Linked DNA regions of Daphnia pulex. The protein of the gene in region 1 interacts with the protein of each later gene in a pairwise test. Links are inferred from orthologs where the notes say so. Each region holds a gene or a part of one and is shown in the gene's direction. Other genes may lie near its edges.

Region 1 (2,797 bases):
AGAGACGAGGCGGAGTCAGTTTTTGGGCATTGTCCGTCGCACGTGCCACCGCCCACCGGTTCGTCTACCTAGTGGCAAAAGCGTTATTAATATGGCGGGGAAATGTAATGAGAATCTTTTCCACGAAAATTTGAAACTCCTCAGGTAAAAAAAAAAAAGGCTGATATGGGTCAGGCAATAAGCGGCAGGTGATTGATAAAAGCCCACACTGCCTCAGCAACAGCTGGATCATTTTTGTCATGTCACGCCACCTGTTGCTACCTACGCTCTACTGAATTCTGTGCTATCAATGATGGAATATTACTCCATCATTTATCCCGGACCGACGGCAGAAATCCGCGTTGAATCTATTTGTTACTCCAATCACGTCACTTTGCTGATTGAACTTATAATCATAGAAGAGTGGAATTTCAAGCACGATTATTAGATAATACCAGGGAATTAAGATTGATACGTTCATCCTCTTGATTGTCGCATGGTCTACCGGAAAACTCGGGGCCGTAGGTGAGAACCAACCATTATACATCCGCCGAGTGCGCAGGAGGATGGCTACGTAGTATAGACCTACCACATGTACAATACGTGAATATGCACTCAGACATGATACACCGCCCTCACGGCCGCGTGCATTATCCGGATGTCACGTATACACGGAGTAGATATGACACTTTAAGATGATATTTCTGACCTATACATGGTAGAATGCTATCGCCCCCGCACCGGATATCCGATCAAAAGTGGCGAAAATAAGAACAAAAGTCAAAGAAAAATTTCAACAGATTTCGTTTGGGTTGAATATTTTTGATTAGCCTACTTTCAAATATTTCCGTTCTGGAAAAGGACGATAAAATAGTAACGGAGGCGTAGAATGTCGCATATGTGAAACAACTGGAAATCACACGGTAATATATTCCATCTTTTTATTTTTCCGTTCGCCTTTCCTGCTGAATTCATAATTTTTCTGATTTGACTTTTTTATTTTGGTATTTTTGTTTTTCAACTCCATATTCCATCTAAATTCTTCTATTGATCTTACCTCCTACAGGAAAATAAAATAACTCACGGTGCAAACTGAAGTTAGTATAGTCTAGCCGTCTAGCCTATCAGCTGCGGCTTCATGGTTTATTAGGGTCCTACGGCGCAGCGCAACCGCAAAATGTTATCCAAATTCGGAAATCAAACTGTGTGATAAGGCCACCACACACATTAATAAATTGTGGGCATGAAATTTGAAATCGTTTTAATTTTTTTTTTATTTTGTAAAAATTTTTTTAAGTTAATTCAATTTTTAATATTTTCTCGATTTCTTTCTAGATGGCATCAATTGATCAAGCAGACGACAAATTGCAAAAGTTGACGCTTTCCAATTTCCATTTCAAGTTGTTGTCTGACGTTTCCATTCTGTCCGGTTGCCTCGTTTCTAGATTTCCAAAACTGTTGAAGCAAACTACGTTATTTCGTTGTTTGCTTCGCAATGAGCACCAGAGGTAAATATATCGTGAAGTGTAGTCGTTTTCAATACAGATTCTCATTGCTATGTTATTATTCCTTTTTCCGATGGGTAGAAACTGATGAACAACAAAGGATTCGATTTCAGGTGGAACTAGAATTTGTGCAATGTTTCGCAAATCCAAATTATCTGCACTGTAAGTATTTGGTCTATTTTTAAAATCAACACTTTCATTATGCCTTGTTTACACTAGTCCTTGCTCAACGTGGCTATTTTAAGGATCCGGCGTTTGTCAACTACATCAAGTATTTACAGTATTGGAAGGAGCCTGCTTATGCAAAATATTTGAAGTACACCAATTCACTTGCAATTTACCCTAACTAGAAATTACAATTTCATTATTTTCCAGGTACCCAATGTGTTTGCATTTCCTAGACTTGCTTCAATATGAGCATTTCAGAAAGGAGGTTGTGAATGGCCAGTGTGCTCGCTTCATTGATGATCAACAAATCCTTCACTGGCAACATTACACTAGAAAGAGGGTTCGTCTTCTTCAAAGTCAAGCTGAGAAGCACATGATGACTGTTCAGAATGAGCCAACACCCCAGAAAAGTGTTTGATTCATGATAATTATTGTTTAAGGAACTTTTTAAACTTCTCTTATATTGGGCAAGTATATGCAAGACAATATAGACAAATTTTTGTAAATTGCTGTATTTTGTGTTGAGTTTTTGCAAACTACCAGACAAAATGTTAACAACACATATGTTTTGGAAGACTTGTTTTGAGTGAGAATGTTTAGAATGGAATAGCTGCTGTTGACCTCAACTGATGGGAGCGAGTGGAAAATCTCTACATATTACGAGATTTGTCATCAGTTACTATACTCAACAACCTCAAAAGGCAGATTTTCTTCACTTCTTCAATCCCAATGTTTAGTTCTTCAGCAGCTGAGTGTTCCAATCTCTCAACTATTCCTTTCAAGATTGCTTCCTTCTTGTTCTGCCTGGCACAGATAACAAAAGGAAATCCAAACTTTTCTCTGTATCTATTAAAATAATAGCCCAAAAGACACAGCTCATTAGTTACTATATAGTTATAGAACAGTAATTTGTCATACTTGATGTTGGTCTCTCCTAGCAGTTGTTTTTCACCAGGTGTCATTGTGTCTAAACCAGCAGCTTTCTGTTCAGCAGTACTCTCCTGTGTTAGGCTGCCAAGTTCAGCTAGCCTGCCAGCCAAATCAGGGTGAAGTCTTAGCACCCCCTCTTTACCTATCAAATGAGAAAACAAATGTTCAATTGATTGGCTATAAATAAGCATTCAAGCAGCCTGTAACTAAATAGT
Region 2 (4,442 bases), on another chromosome or scaffold:
GCGTCTGATGTAAAAAGCACCTAAAATAAATGTATAAATAGTTCAAACATGTACTTTTTCTAAAGACTTCGCTACATTGTACCCGCGTTTTGCAGCACACGATTCACAAATTTCATTCCTTTAAAATCTGAAACAAACATAAAGTTGTAAACATCGTAGCCGAAAGAAAAAGAACTATACGTATACCCATTCCCGCGGCAATAACAGGAAGAGGGATATCCATAGTATAGCAAAGATATGATATTAGCAGAAAATCTGCATAGCTTCTATGTGTGGGTAAGATTAAAACAGGTCCTTCAGACATTGCCTTACTGAGCTGTGATAAAAAAAAATATTGGATTTCATTTAAGAAATAAAATATGAGTTTTTTTACCTTCAGGACAGCAGAGTTGTTAATTGCTACACCTTGATATAAATTTCTCAGCAGCTTAGCAAGGAAAAAACCAATTACACGGATAGTACCAAGACTGTATGTATGACCCATTTCCTCCAAAATGGTTTTGATTTGGACAACAATGTTTTCATAGCTGTTTACACCATTATGACCTTCAAGGAGAAGCTGTAAGAATAAAATTGATTAAAAAGGCAAAAAAAAATGCTGAAATCAGCAGTTAAGACTTAAGATAAAGGGTATTCTATTACTTGATGAATGACGTCTTTCATACGTGGACTTTCAAGTATACTATCAGCAATAAACTTGGTTGCTTCAGGATGTAAGTTAGGCTTAGGTCTCCAAAATTTAAGGCAAAAGAATGCATCAAATTGATACTTTTGCTTTTCCACAATATCAACATAATCTTTTACTGTGAACCTTGAGGGATCGGTTGTAGCCATATCTTTCTTCTCAATATCAATGGATTCCATTTTTTCTAAAACTTATCACGACAATTTTATTTGTAACACTACACTATTTTCATATCTAATATCAGAGTCGGCAGTAACTTCTGCCAAGTACTTCTTTACAGTTCTGTCATGTTTACAGACCAAACAGGGACTGACATTTTAAAACCTGTAGGCACTGGGCATGCTCTAGGCGATAACTTTCACCGTGTTCGGCTTAGCTGCCAGATCTGGTATTATTATCGCAAAAGCTATAAAACATCATTAATAAATTTTAAAAATTATTTTTTTGTGCAACAAGCCGATAACACAGTGACCTGACCTTATCTTAAGATTGTCATTAAACTGAAACAAATTTAAACAACCTGAAATTCAAGTACGAACGTAATTTATTGAATTTCAATGGTTTTCAATTTATTAATATTCTTGCGTAGATAATTATTTTTCTCCAAAGACAGCTAGCTTCTAGCTAGTTTCCTTTAAGAAAATAAGACATTTTTAAAAATTTTATGATCGCTATTCTATTTCACTTTCGAATTCACTTCGGAAAAAAATAATCATAAACCTACAGTTCATGGACAACGAAAACTCAAGAAAGTTTATATAACGATAACATATGCGATAGTGAAAGCCTATGTTGTTTGCGTTGTTTGTTCCGCTTAAACCAAAATAAGAGAGTTTCGTGTTTAATACTTGGCCGCTAGTAGCGCTGTTTATACTAGACAACAGTTTTTACTCTTATGTCAGGTTGGTATGCTTATCACGACGAACGGGATTCTTAGTCGACGACTAGATTATATTTACAACCACCACCAAGACTATCTCTACCACCACCAAATCTTTCTCAGCTAGTCGGCTTTAGTTTACATAGCATTATGGAAGGTAAATTCTTATCCATGTTTAAAGTACTACGTAAACCCCACGCCCATGAGCCTCAAATCCACATGTCATTAATCGGCCGCTTACTGTCTCACGTCACTTATTGTCAATTTACAGTGGAACAGACCGACATAAGTTAGATTCCATGTTCAACTGAATGACTACGTGATAACAAATGCTGCTTTGTTTAATTAAGAAATAACGAAATATAGGCCACATGTACAACACTAGCATTGAAGCCTGACATTAAATGATAATTGAATTGAAAATGTCTAGACGGAGGAAGTAAGTGCTGCGCTTGCGGTCCCGGCTATGCTTCGCCTCTCGAAGCTACAAAAGCCTCCCCGGAAAAACTTTTGTACATAACATGCATCCAAGGGGAAAAGGGGAAACATGATTACGTGGCCACGATTGATGTTGATCCAAGCAGCCCAACGTATAGTCAAGTGAATAAATGTCTAAACGTTAATTGAAAACTTTAGGCACACTGATTTTTTGGGGAATTTTCTAATGTTAGGTAATTCACCGAACGATTATGCCTTATGCGAACGACGAATTGCATCACAGTGGTTGGAATTCCTGCAGTAGTTGCTACGACGATCCTTCGCAGAAACGCGATAACCTCGTTGTCGCAGGACTAATTAGCGACCGAATTTATGTGATCGATGTTGCCAAAAACCCCAGAGCTCCTGAAATTCTAAAGGTATTATTAACGATCGTGGTTTTCTTTCAAATCTTTAATGTACGATTGATTTTGGCTGAGTAGGTTATTGAGCCTAAAGAAATGCATGACCTGGATCTCAGTGCGCCACATACTCTTCATTGCTTAGCCGACGGTAATGTAATGGTGTCGTCAATGGGTAACGCAAAGAGGGAAGCAAAAGGATCATTCTTCTTGATTGATACAAAGGAATGGAAGATTAAAGGTACATCAATAGATTCTCGTTTTTTTCATTATACGCATACCTATAAACATTATTGGATGCGAAGGTTTGTGGAGTGAAGATTCCACGAATTTTGGTTACGACTTTTGGTATCAGCCGCGTCATAATGTCATGGTTCGTAAAGCTTTATTTTTTTAGCTTTCTAAATGTACGATGTACAATAATTTTTTTAATGTTGTGTGTTAGATCTCTTCCGAGTGGGGTTCTCCGTCGGCTTTTTGCACTGGATTTTCCTTGGATCACGTGTCTGCAGGTATATAATAAACCACAATTACGTCATACATTTAAATAACCGTGCAAATTGTCTAACTCACCTTCTGAAATTTAGGCATGTATGGCCAATCTCTGCATGTGTGGGACTGGAAAGAACATAAGAAAATTCAGACCTTGGACTTGGGTAGTGAGGGATTGATGCCTCTTGAAATTCGTTTCCTTCACGAACCGACTGCCACAACTGGATTCGTGGGCTGCGCTTTGACCGCCAACGTCTTCCGGTATGAATACAAAATGTCCCTGATATCAGCCATAAAGTTCTTACCATATTTCTTACTAAACTTACTACTTGTAGTTTTCATCAGTTGGAAGACGGTAAATGGGCGGCGGATAAAGTTATCGATGTGCCGTCGTGGAAAGTCTCCAACTGGGCTCTGCCGTCCATGCCTGGAATAATCACCGACATACTTATTTCTATGGACGATCGTTTTCTCTATCTCTCCAACTGGGTGCAAGGTATCAGGGTTGTTGTTCTTATATCTTGTAATGAATCATTAATTGTAGGGTGATTTCTTCAGGTGACATACGGCAGTATGACATCAGCGACCCAGCCCACCCCAAGCTAGTAGGGCAGATCTACGTTGGCGGAAGCGCCGTGAGTGGAGGGGGCGTAACCATCTTAGAAGACAATGTCAAAGCGGTTGGCAGCATATTCTTCTTTCTTATTAAATTTGGCTCTGTCCCAGTGGACATTGAATAATTGAATTTAATTAACAGCCAGAACCGTTGGTAGTGAATGGGAAGCGATTCCACGGTGGGCCTCAGATGCTCCAGCTCTCCCTCGATGGCCGGAGATTATACGTTACCACGTCACTTTTCAGTCCATGGGACCGTCAATTTTATCCGGATATGGTCGAGTGCGTTTTTTTCTATAAGAAAATCAACTCGTCCCCCAATCGTATTTAATTAGTTCTTAATCGCATTTAGAAAAGGATCCGTTCTGCTACAGATTGACGTGGACGTCAATGTTGGCGGCCTCAAGATTAATCCAAAACTAATGGTCGATTTTGGAGCGGAGCCAGACGGCCCAGTTCTTGCTCACGAAATTCGGTATGTAAGCTGTGTCGCTCCAATGCCAATCTAGCTGCATTTTGATTGAAATTGCTTGGCTAATAACAGATATCCCGGTGGCGACTGCAGTTCGGACATTTGGCTCTGAAATGGTCATCGTCTAAACGTTACTTGTGCTGCCCAAGTTCGGACGACGTCATATTATACACTGTACAATAGCGTAGCATCAAATCTGGAATAGCAATCAAATTGGAGAGCCGGCTCATAAATACACATGGTTTCAGTTGGACCGTTTTGCGATAGTTTATTCTCAGTGATGAAGCATTGACGTCCTCCAGGATGGAAGAGGGGTTCAATTTGAGAGCCCGCTGATTGGTCTCTATATAGAAGTCGGCTTCGTCTCTTTTGCCCAATGGAGCGTGTAGTCGACGCGCTGACCCGATGGAGGAGAACATGCTCATCCACAGCCGTATCGATCGAGCGCGCTCACAATCC
Region 3 (3,656 bases), on another chromosome or scaffold:
TTCGGAAGCGATTCTTTTACATATCATTTCCAGTTTTCAGACAATTTCCAGTGGCATTGTGCACAGAAGAATGTGCAAACTTGTTCTAAACGCAAATTTCACTTCTTCTGAATCTAAGCTTCGTTGTTTGGAAAATGTACAAAAAATCGTTCTTCAGTCAGCTAATCAAAGGTTCTTGGCACTCGCCCACCTACTATCCTACGTTTTATGACATCTTCAATTTTCTTTTTTAGATGGTATTCCGAGATCACAGCAGTTCCAAGCGCTACCTTTGAAAATAGGTCTAGCATGTTGCGAGATATCGACAAGGCGTTTGTGCTGGATTTTGCGTTGAAAAGGTGGTTTAAAAATTATTTTCTGGTTTTATCTTGCTAAATCGTCTTCATAATTTAGGGAGTTAGAACCTTTAATGTGGAGAGAAATCGTCGCTCAGACAAACACAGACGACTTTCCGTTATTGTGCAGCAATCATAGTTTCCTTTTATATGTCCTTGGAAGTCGAATATTGAAATATGATGCTTTTTACCATGCCAAGGCATACCTTTTAAATATGATTACCGCCGAAGCCTTCGACAACTCTAAGGTACGCCGATTTCGGATGCTATTAATTTTTTGAACGGTTTTATCTTTTTATGAAATGAGCATCTCATTTTTTTCCATTAGATCCTGTCAATCGCTCATATTCTCAGTGCATTGTGCAAATCCATCTCACCATCGGAGGTCAACGATATTTTCACTGCATCCGAAATCACCATATTGGCTAAAACACCGCTTACCTTAATTGGTGCGATGGATTCGCTTTCCCATTCGTTAGTTCTTCTACAGGCGTCCTCTGAGATTGTTTCCATATTTGGGCGTGAACTTGCAATTGAATGGACAGACAAAGAGAATCTACCGGCTGTTTACAAGGCAATCCATTGTTTGGAGTCTCTTTGCATTCGGATAAGAAACAATGCAACTCTAGAACAACCTACTATTACCGGTAAATATCCTAAATTGTCTTCTTTAGTTGAAGATTTGATAACGAACGAATTTTCATTTAGGCCTGGAGCAAATGATTTGTCCTGATCCAAACTTTGTTTCGAGTGCGAAACAATTAAACCGAATACTTAGATTTATCGAACAAGAATCAAACATTCCAGGAATACTTCATCAAGACTTACTGTAAATTGTATTTCTGAATATTGATAAATCAATTCATTAAGATTTTTCTACTATTTTCAGGTCGACTGTTACTGTGTTTTGTCGAATGCCACTCTTCTATTCCTATATTTGCATTCCGCCATCCGCTTGGAGCAAAGGCTGGAATCCTGAGCTAAATTTGGATGTCGAACATATCACATTGGATCTACCAATAATCCCTTCACATTTTCTGCATGATGAAGTTGTTTTAAAAGAATTCGTTTTCCGGTAATTTTGGGACATTTTCTTATAAATGGATCTTGGATCATGCTGACTGCTTACTTATTCTTAAAGAATCGAGCAAATTAGCTGGATTACCAAAAAGAAATTTGAAGAAATTTGGATGACTTTTCTTGGCATTTTGAACTTACACAATGAGGATCAAGTGAGACCCGAAGAACAAGCAAGCGTCATCCAGGTATCATAACAGAGTTGGTAATTTTTTCTTACAATTTTTGAAAAACCATTTGAATTCAAAGGCTACATGTGAAGCCGTGCGAGCTCTTACAATGGTGCTTCAAAAAAATCTACCATTTAAGACGCCAAGATCTGTGAAAAATAATGAACTAGACAAGCCTCCTGAGTTCACGTCAACTGAGTAAAGCCAATGTGTTATTTAATCTCGCTTAATTATAGCTAATTGTCAATATTTTTAATGGATATTGTAGAAGGGGCAAGAAGCTGAAAGAACTCTGCAATTTGCTAGAAGAAGATTACACGATATCATCTTCCTGCAGTTATTGGCTCAATCGTCACTCCTTCAGACACATTCAATATAATATTGATCAAGGTTCACCATCCAAAAAGAAGGCTACTAGTCCCGAAGATGTTACAGATATAGATATCCAATCCTGTGTTCGCTTCTTAGTGGATCTCTACTCACAGTGGCTTCAGAATTCGGTAACCTTAATCTTCTATGTAGAAAATAATGATATTTTTCTTCAACATTTTCTTTTTTTTTCTCAAGAATACGCCGTACCCGCTGCTAGTGGACTTGTTTCAATCCCTAGTGCACATATCAAACTTCTTTGTCGATGTTCAACAGTTTGAGTGGATGCTGGATAACTCCTTAACCTTACACAGGCAACTTCTTCCTGATGATCCTGCGAGCTTAGAGTCCGCTTTAGTAGGGTGCATCTTGAAATCTGCTTCTTTTATACCCATGGTACAAAATTCATCTGAAATCTGAAGTTTTGTGATAATGTATTGTTATTTTTTCATGTCTCAGAATATGGAATACTGGGAATTAGTAAAAAAGCACTGTGAAACCGCATTGAATTCCCAGCATATTTCCACGCGAACTAGTGGATTAAATGGTCTTTTGTATCTACTTCAAAAGTTTGCCAGAAATCCAGATCTTGCTCGTACAGGCACTCTCGTCAACCTGGCTATGGATTATGTCGGTAAATGTCTCAGGTTGGTGTGATTCATCTCTTTACGTTTAAAGAAATTTGTCTGTTTATTTATTTGAAATATCATATTAAGCCCTGAACACAATGGTCCGACCTGGCATCAGTCCTTCGTTTGGTCAATAGCGTTCTATTGCGGCGAACATTTTGCAGTATTGCCCTATCAGAATTATGCTGTCGTCGATTTTGTTGTTCAGTGCGCTCTTAGTAGGCTTGTGCAAAACGAACAACAATCAAACGAGATCCCAAAAGAAATTTTACAGGTATTTCGTGAATTTATTGAAGATCTTATGTTGTAGGCTAATCTCGTTATTGATTCGTTATAGGGATTAGAACGGCTGAGCATTCTAGGCGTATTGACTCCGATTTGGCGAACGCAAGTTAAAAAAGAGGTTCTCAATTTAATACGCAATGTTGATTGTGATTGGATTCTACAGCCAGCACTACGAACTCTGCTGTCATTAGTCTATTCAGGTATAGGGTTTCATGCTGACTCTGTTTTTTCACTCCTCTCAAACCAATATTTACTTTTTCAAGATTTTGGTAGCCAATTGTATAAACCTGGAGCAGATCCTGAAACGATGCTCGCCGCTATGGAATGGGTGGGCGCCCTGTTCCAACGGTAAAGCTGAATAAGATGATTCTTGTTTACTTAGTTATTAATTTGTATCTGTTTCTTAATTTTCCATTTCCTCAGAATGAAGCGCGGAACAGATCTAGAGGCGGAGCTTTTGGGGCGAATTATGCCCGTCATAACCTGTGATATTTTCCCACCAGCAGACATCTTGAATCGTATTTTAAGTGAATTTATAACGGCAAGACCCACAGTTGCCTGTTGTTTAACTCCAACCATTTTCAAAGTAAGTCGTGGAACGTAGAATTTGTGTGGCATTGTCAACTGCCAAGATGTTTACTCTCTGGTTAATTCATTCAGGTTTTTGGAACGGCACGTACTCAAGGACAACAAAGTTTAGTCATGGAGTGGATTCTCTTAAGCCTCAGCAATTTTACCAGGACGCCTAGCGACACAGCGAATGATTCGATCTGGAATATTTTATGTTTTTT

Evidence for each region.
Region 2: the proteins of mediator of RNA polymerase II transcription subunit 31-A-like (region 1) and methanethiol oxidase-like interact in a two-hybrid assay, tested with the Homo sapiens proteins (2 studies listed by BioGRID and IntAct). The link is inferred for Daphnia pulex from reciprocal best matches to the Homo sapiens genes MED31 and SELENBP1.
Region 3: the proteins of mediator of RNA polymerase II transcription subunit 31-A-like (region 1) and huntingtin-like interact in binary tests that used the Homo sapiens proteins (3 or more experiments, as listed by UniProt). The link is inferred for Daphnia pulex from reciprocal best matches to the Homo sapiens genes MED31 and HTT.

The regions. Positions count from the first base shown.
Region 1 is NC_060024.1:13,245,096-13,247,892, reverse strand, and holds mediator of RNA polymerase II transcription subunit 31-A-like, read left to right. Parts: upstream 1-1,333; 5' UTR 1,334-1,474; coding exon 1,475-1,487; intron 1,488-1,565; coding exon 1,566-1,646; intron 1,647-1,703; coding exon 1,704-1,800; intron 1,801-1,859; coding exon 1,860-2,070; 3' UTR 2,071-2,158; downstream 2,159-2,797. Other genes in the region: 2-oxo-4-hydroxy-4-carboxy-5-ureidoimidazoline decarboxylase-like, read right to left, coding at 2,303-2,498, 2,571-2,724. UniProt on the Homo sapiens protein: Component of the Mediator complex, a coactivator involved in the regulated transcription of nearly all RNA polymerase II-dependent genes.
Region 2 is NC_060020.1:6,012,951-6,017,392, forward strand, and holds methanethiol oxidase-like, read left to right. Parts: upstream 1-1,547; 5' UTR 1,548-1,715; coding exon 1,716-1,722; intron 1,723-1,890; exon of another isoform or gene 1,891-1,995; coding exon 1,996-2,165; exon of another isoform or gene 2,166-2,236; coding exon 2,237-2,422; exon of another isoform or gene 2,423-2,485; coding exon 2,486-2,645; exon of another isoform or gene 2,646-2,709; coding exon 2,710-2,777; exon of another isoform or gene 2,778-2,849; coding exon 2,850-2,916; intron 2,917-2,977; exon of another isoform or gene 2,978-2,991; coding exon 2,992-3,157; intron 3,158-3,222; exon of another isoform or gene 3,223-3,231; coding exon 3,232-3,392; exon of another isoform or gene 3,393-3,454; coding exon 3,455-3,576; exon of another isoform or gene 3,577-3,653; coding exon 3,654-3,793; exon of another isoform or gene 3,794-3,863; coding exon 3,864-3,986; exon of another isoform or gene 3,987-4,055; coding exon 4,056-4,095; 3' UTR 4,096-4,236; downstream 4,237-4,442. Other genes in the region: dihydroxyacetone phosphate acyltransferase-like, read right to left, coding at 1-20, 83-127, 187-559, 643-864; uncharacterized protein LOC124192778, read left to right, coding at 4,389-4,442. UniProt on the Homo sapiens protein: Catalyzes the oxidation of methanethiol, an organosulfur compound known to be produced in substantial amounts by gut bacteria. Selenium-binding protein which may be involved in the sensing of reactive xenobiotics in the cytoplasm.
Region 3 is NC_060020.1:1,047,193-1,050,848, forward strand, and holds part of huntingtin-like, read left to right. Parts: coding exon 1-171; intron 172-233; coding exon 234-338; intron 339-393; coding exon 394-583; intron 584-663; coding exon 664-982; intron 983-1,043; coding exon 1,044-1,164; intron 1,165-1,224; coding exon 1,225-1,410; intron 1,411-1,476; coding exon 1,477-1,600; intron 1,601-1,661; coding exon 1,662-1,780; intron 1,781-1,850; coding exon 1,851-2,082; intron 2,083-2,149; coding exon 2,150-2,347; intron 2,348-2,410; coding exon 2,411-2,598; intron 2,599-2,667; coding exon 2,668-2,854; intron 2,855-2,917; coding exon 2,918-3,065; intron 3,066-3,128; coding exon 3,129-3,213; intron 3,214-3,288; coding exon 3,289-3,451; intron 3,452-3,525; coding exon 3,526-3,656.